Linked DNA regions of Solanum lycopersicum. Each later gene encodes a partner of the first gene's protein in a complex. Links are inferred from orthologs where the notes say so. Each region holds a gene or a part of one and is shown on either strand. Other genes may lie near its edges.

Region 1 (2,945 bases):
GTATAAGTTTGTGCTATAGTATATGTCTAAATGAACATTATACAAAAGTATCCTTATACAAATGCAAAAAATTAAACAAATCAATTGTATAATTTGTGTATGTATAAAACAAGAAAGAGAATAAGACAATAGAAAATTGGGCAGAAAAATATTTGCATTGTATAATTATAAGTTTATAGGATGAAGATATATGTATTTGTATGTATATATACAATTTTCTCTCGCTTTATACAATTTTCGCTCTATTGTATAAAGCGAGAGCGGCGAGCGACTGGGAGCGAACAATAGAGGTAGAGTGGCGAGCGAGAATATGAGGGAGAGAGGCGACTGACAAACCGTTTGCTATGGAATACAAATAAATCAAACGGTAGCTACTATATTTATTTTACGTTATTAGTTTGTCATTTTATACTATTATCCTTTTAATGTATACACTTAACAAATGATTGATTTTTTCAATATCCAAGTGTGTTTGGTAGGAAAGGAAAATATTTTTAGCCGAAAATGATTTTCTAAAAAATGTTTTCTCAGCAATCAAGTAGATTTCTTATTTATTTTCTTATGTTTGGTAAGTTAAGCAGGAAAACATTATTCCAATACTATTTATATGATATCTAACAAAACGAAAGGGGGTTGGAAAGTGGGGGTTCGGGGTAACGGGGTTTGGGATGATCCGGAACGGGTCGGGGGAATTAAGTAGGTGGAAAAGAGACAATAAACTTGGAATGCCACTTAACTCGATCTGTTTTTTCCAAACATTTTCTACTATTTTCATAATTTCATGTATCCTAAGTATGCCCTTCTGGAAAAAGGGAAAAATGATGGCAACAGCTGAAACTCAATGTACCAACACCAAAAACTACACAGTTAAGAAACAATTTGTTCAGGATCTTCGTCCTGCCAATCCTTTCGTCAAGGTGAGAGCTCTCTTCCCACCATGGCTGATGCCCCTCGAAATTTACTTCTTTAATGGAACCCCAACATTTCAAAGAGAAGCTAAAGCCTCACCTTGTAAAGGTACACCTCATGAATCTTTTCGTCCAAGATTTACAAGTTCATCCTTACGCCTTTCTGCGAGGAAAGTGGCTGACTACTACAAATCTGAGAGAATGGAGAACAAGGGATGAGAAACATTGTAAAAACTTAAGAGCGTGAACAAATGATTTTGAAAATGAACGACAACGTCCACAGTTAGAATTAAAGAGAAGAACAATCAAACTGATCTGAATTATCTTTTGGTTTCTTTTCTACTTGATAAAGTTTAGGACCGTTGTGATGCCTCCTCCACACAACATGGTGAAGAAGCATTGTTGTCCCGTCACTCCAATTTTCTCTTTCATCCAAGTGCATTGAGAAATTCACAACATGGTCAACAAACTCGACCATGGTCACAATGATGATTTGCCCAAAAATACAATGATGCTGTTATTTTAGCCAAGATGTTGCAATCTTAGTGTTCTCCTTCCATCATTTTCAGTTCCAGGTTACGGGCAGTACAAATATTTTCACAAATGTTAAACTCCTTCCCTCTAATTAAGTAATTTAATTAACAGATTAACCCCATATATAATAGGCAATGCAAAAGTGTCCTAACTCGACAACTTTGTGACTAGCAATGTTTACTTGACCTGGAAGTGCAAGATAATTAAGGATTTGCGACAATTCAACATAGACACATTAGAGGACTTGTAAGCAATAGGAAGACAATGAACCTGAAATATAACTACAGGTTGCTTCCACGTTCACTACCGGAAAAGCCTTGGCACTGATTTTTTTGGAATCTTGCCTTCAAGTTTTAACCTTCTATATGCTTCTCTTATGTGGCATGGCCTGATTGGGCCAGTATCTTTTCTCTCTGCCATCACCATTTTAGCTGCAAAAGGTATTGTAAGATGAGTGAGCACCATTACTTGGAGAAAATCAATGCAGTATAGCCCTTCAACTTTATTTAACTGAGGACACTTCCACCTTGAAACACTAAAGATTGGCAACTCTTTACTGCATAATTAGACTGGAAATTGGTTAAACGTGTTCACCTAGGTTTACGAAATATTCAGTTGATTCTATCGATCTTTTGAAGAAGGGAAAGGAAAAGCAGAGAAACAATGTGACAGTGAGCTTTTACAGGTAGAGGGTAACAGAGACCACTAGGAACAAAGGAGGGCAGTGCCTGGGCCAACACTGAGGCAGGAGAGTCATTTTATTGTTCTTGCTAAAAAGTCCTATGTTTTCCCTAGTTATAGTGCCAAACATCCTTAACCAGTCAGACACGTCAAATGCAATTTCAGACACATTGGCGGGTGCTTACTTAGCATAGGTACGATGTGTGAGTACATAGAAGACATTTTAGAGCCACTCTTTTGTTACTTTAAAGGGGTAAAGTGTTCCAAATGAATGTTAACCAACATGCTCAGTAACGGATAATATTACTGGTCTTGGGCTTTTAATGCCTCATTGTTGCAAATTGGTCAGAAACTGATTATAGTTTGGCAAATATTTTGGAGCTGTGCACTAGTGTCTAAGAATAGAACGAAAATAAGATCATTCCAACGACAAGTCATCCTTGCTATTCCCAAATAAAGGATAAACGTTTGCTTCATCAATTATCTCTATAACAAGTGGATCTGTCTATTTACCTGTTTCAATAAGCTCACCGACAAACATTTTTGCTATCCCAGACACCACAATTGTCATAGGAATAGATATCTTTGCACTTCCTGTGATGTTGGTCAGCAACTGCATCGACAACACACAAGAGTCACGACAAAAAATAAATTATGCACAATAAATGATCAGACTGGAAAAGCAAATATCTCAATGGCCCTAAGGCTTGCACAAGATCCTCACATATTCACAAAGATTTGGCTTCATTCTCAATCATCTGACAGTTACGCGTCTATTGAGAAAATGAATTCTAACATTACATGTGTGCAATGAAAGACAAA
Region 2 (4,587 bases), on another chromosome or scaffold:
AATCTAATATAAGCTCGGTTTCCAAGACATTAACAAGAATTTCAAAATTCAACTATATTTTGTCTCAACACAAAAAATGAGGGTGTCTTTATCCTGGTCTACCCACAAGTCATCAACTTTCCTTCCTTCAACCACTGCCATCTTGTTGTCTCAACCATATTTCTAGTCTCTACACAGAATACCAATGGAGATACCCCTTGCTCCTGATATATCCTAACTTTCATCGACCTGCCTGCTTTCAACCACTGGCATTATGTTGTTTCTCTATTGGAATGGCCCGTTTCATAAATATCCATTTCTTTCTAAACATGAAGGATACATAAGAGACCATTCATAAACTCTTATTCTTTCTTCCGATGATAAAGCCATAATCTATCCTCAAAAGACTCACAGCATTTCATGAGTTTTACTTTCATTACGACTAGTGAAGGCAAAATAGTGAGTAAAGTGAGGCATTCACAAAATCTTGAGTCGATAACGAAACAAAACACAACTGATTTGTCACAGTTGAGAAGATCTACCACAATCCAGTAGAAGCATTAGGAAAATAACAATCCATTGGAAACATTAAGAAAGGAAGTTCAGAGAAAGTTGGATGCTTTGTTATTTGTAATCATATATTCTGAAACAAGGTCTTTCTACATGTCTACTCAAGTCATATCTTAGTTTCTTTATATTGTATTTTTCTGTTTCTTTGTCTCTTTTCTAAGGTTTTGGAGTGTCACAGACACAATAATCTCCTGAGGTAGTAGTATTATTGCGCTAACAATAGAGAATTTCAGGTGTTGTATTTTTGGTAGTGTAGTCAAGTTAGGGTCGGCAGTCTTTAAAAATATAACAGGCTTGGATTCTAAAATTACCAACTTAATGTTTCTAATTCATTAGAGACGAACCAAAAAGAGTTTTTTTAAGGTTTGGGGGAGGAGAACAACTTGAACACTTAAAAGTTGGAAGGATCATACAATGACAAACACCTAGACAGGCAACAATTGCATTGAAGCCTCAAGAGTAGGGGACAATCGATGAGCAATATGCCGAAGAATTAGCAGCATACTTAACATAAGATGGAGGAGGAAACAGAATTCAAGAAAAATAAAATAATTAAGAAACATACTGGAGAGCATCAGTAGCCACATCTGCAATAAACTTCTGAGTAGCAACTGCCACCAACCTTATTCTGCATATCCAAAGGAAAAACTCAATACAACAACACAGTATTAAAAACTGATAACATAAGATAAACCAGCCATCACTGTCAAACAAAACATCAAATGCTACAATATTAAAATTTACAACTTGTAAAAAGGTAAATACCAATCCAATTCACAGATATATAAATTTTACTTGAATTTACTGCTAAACCAGATAAATAGAAAACGATCAAAACAAAAACGGAACTAGAGAATACTGCCGCTTAGTCACTGTTTGATTGCTACGAGTATAAAGATATTCAGCTAATTGCTCATCTAATTTTCATAAAAATGGGTATTGCCTTGCGGCTCCACCAACAACCCACCAAGATGTTATATTATTGTTTACTGATGCAGGTTTACAGGTGGATACTGGACTGGCAAATATTGGTGTTGCAGCTCTGGAAAGCCTTGGAAAACTGATTCATGCCCATGTTTCCCCAATCCAGTTTGCGGGAAAAGCTATGACTGTTGAAGCACTTGCTTTAAGAGTGGCTCTTGAACGTACAATCAGGAACAATTGGAAGGATGTGAGAATCCTATTGGAAGCAAAGAGTGTTATTGATTATGATTCAGGAAAAAGTTAACTACCTCATGGGAGATAGAGGTGACTTGTGAAGACATTTGGAAGCTAAGAGCTTGCTTGATCATGTAGACTTTGTTCATATTCCGAGAAGTCTAAACAAAACTAGCACATAATTCAGCTAAGTTTTCTATTACTTCGTTGAAGGAAATATCTTGGGAGGACATCCTCCCAAGCTGGATTTTACATCATTATATGGGCACCTTTGCCCAATTTATTTGTTTGCTGCAGTAACATAATATCTCCCTTTGAACCCCCAGGGCTTAGCTCACTTGGCAAAAGTGTAGAGCTTTCGCTACGCCAAGCAAAATAAACGTAGGTTGAGGAGCGCGTTCATCGTATTCGAGTTTAAAGACTACGGTTAGCTCAAGACAGAGGATAAACCTAGTGAAAATAGTTCTAGATAAACACACGAAAATCATATCTTCCTTATGAGCAATCCAAACAATTTTTCTATAACTAATCTAAGCAGGCTAAATTGCAGAAACATCAACATAAGAATGGGAAGAAAATACATACAATCGAACATCAGGACATTGAAATCCACTTTTACCCAAGTAATGCTCCACCAATTCATCAGGAATCTGATCAAAAGCGTTAACCTACATAAATAAAACATAAAATTGATCTCTTCAGTAAGAAAAAGGGCAAAAAGTAGCTCACAGTGGGAGTATAGTCCATCAAGGAAGCAAGGAAATCGGCTAGAACAGCATCATCCTCGTGTCTTCCTTCACTTGTTTGTTGACCTTGACTTTGGTTCATCTTCACCGTCGAAACAGAGTCAACGGAGGATCGGCGGTGGTCGGAGTTTCAATTTCGCCGGAGGAAAATTGGGGAAGATTTGTGCCTTTTTACTTTGAGAAAAAAATCGGAAGAAGAAACTGAAGAAAAATATTCTAGTAATAGGTAAGTAAAATTACTATGGTTACGATAATTTAAAATATTTAAAAATATATATAAAAATTATTTTTAAACTCACATATTGAAAAAGTAATATTATTTTCCTTCTAGGATATAGAAATATTATAATTTTGATTATTTTTTAAAATTCAAAATTGTTTCTCCACAATTGTGCAAAAAAGAAAAAAAATGAGAAAAGGCCTAAGATAGAGGAGAATTGTATTTTTGTTATGTGAAATTCGTTCGCGAAGAGGGGCATATATATTTACCTAGCTAACGATAATATTTCGTAAAAAAAAAAATTATATTTTATTTTATTTTTTAAATTTGATAGTTCATAACATTTAAAAAAATTATAAAATAAAAATATAATTAAATTATTTTATTCTCTATCAAACCAAACGCAATTAAAATTTACATTGAAGTATATATATATATATATATACACACACTCATAATCACTTATGTTAGCCATTTTATTCTTCTCTATCATAGAAGATTAAAATGAATTATATTATTATTGAGTAAACAATTTGGATATTATTTGATAACTAATTTAATTACAATACAATTGAGTAACTTAATTGGTACTTGAATGATTTGGTAAGCACGATTATAAATCATGTTTCACAAATATGACTAATATCACATTTGATTTGCATCATTTGAAAGTTATATTAGATAAATATAATTTATAAATTACATATTAATAGTAACTCAATTTATAGATTAACTATATATCATATTCGATAGATACGACCTATAAATTGCATGAATAAGCATGATTTTTAAATCATATTTAATTACTATAAATTATCAAATATAATTAGTAAATCACAATAGATATAAAATCGCAAACGTCACATATGCACATACATTCGAGATTCTTCAAATAATTCATTTTCTAAATCGATATATAATTGATTCTACTCTTTTCATTCATTATATTAAAAATATATCATCAATTTTACTTTTTTCATTGAAAAATTTAAAAACGATCTATTTATTTTTTAGCAAAATGACTCTTATGATTATCGTTAGCTAATAAAACACGTATCAAATCGAAGTAACAATTTCCGTGAAAACATATTACTCGAAAACGAAAATTTTTTCTAACTCTTTGTTATCTCAACCAAAATTGAGTACAATTTCCCGAATCTCAAAATTGAAAAATTAAACCAAAAATGGAAGAACTCAAAAAAAAAAATAGAGAAAATTGCTCTGTTTTTTTTTTTTCAAAGCTCAGTAGCTTCATCAATGGCCGATTTGAGATTCTTCATGAGCTTGATCCATAGCTTCATCTTTCGCCTTCTCATCATCAAATTCTTCAGTTTCCTTTTCCAATTTCTTCTCAATTTTATCACCAGCACCAAACGAATTACCTCTACTCGAAATAGGCGTAGCCAAAAAAGTTGGATTCAAATCTCCAGCCATTATCACAACTATTTTCTCCTCAAAAACCGGCGACGCCTTGAAAACATCACCGGTCGATTTCTCGCCGTCGCCGGATTCTACATCGCCGTTTTCTCTCGGATAGCCGGATCGTCTCCAGTAAGAACAAGCTAGGATTACTAAAGCAAAAGTTATTAACACTAGCATGGACGCTACGCCGGCGAATAGATACGGCGCCGGCGAATGCCATGGCGATTTTTGAACAATCGCCGATGGAGAGACTGATGGAGAAGCAGTAGTAAAGGTACTTACTGTTCGCATTTTTATTTTATTTTCGAAGATGAAATGTCTAATATTTTATTTTTTCGATAGAAAAATTTATTAAATTTTTTGCGAGCGAAACGAATATTAAACTTTTAGAACAAAGAAAATAAGAAAAATAAAACTTAGCTTGGCTTGAGAAATGCAAAGATGGTATATGTGTGTATTTATATGAAACAAATTTAGTGGATGAATAGTGAA

The links.
Region 2: transcription initiation factor TFIID subunit 11 (region 1) and transcription initiation factor TFIID subunit 10 share a complex: the UniProt entries of both Arabidopsis thaliana proteins name them as parts of the TFIID complex. The link is inferred for Solanum lycopersicum from reciprocal best matches to the Arabidopsis thaliana genes TAF11 and TAFII15.

What each region holds. Positions count from the first base shown.
Region 1 is NC_090804.1:5,055,784-5,058,728, forward strand, and holds the end of transcription initiation factor TFIID subunit 11, read right to left. Parts: intron 2,737-2,945; coding exon 2,637-2,736; intron 1,874-2,636; coding exon 1,746-1,873; 3' UTR 1,713-1,745; exon of another isoform or gene 1,384-1,712; intron 1,102-1,383; 3' UTR 523-1,101; downstream 1-522. UniProt on the Arabidopsis thaliana protein: TAFs are components of the transcription factor IID (TFIID) complex that is essential for mediating regulation of RNA polymerase transcription.
Region 2 is NC_090811.1:67,585,484-67,590,070, forward strand, and holds the start of transcription initiation factor TFIID subunit 10, read right to left. Parts: upstream 2,908-4,587; 5' UTR 2,536-2,907; coding exon 2,437-2,535; intron 2,358-2,436; coding exon 2,293-2,357; intron 1,178-2,292; coding exon 1,115-1,177; intron 1-1,114. Other genes in the region: protein GLUTAMINE DUMPER 2, read right to left, coding at 3,928-4,386. UniProt on the Arabidopsis thaliana protein: TAFs are components of the transcription factor IID (TFIID) complex that is essential for mediating regulation of RNA polymerase transcription.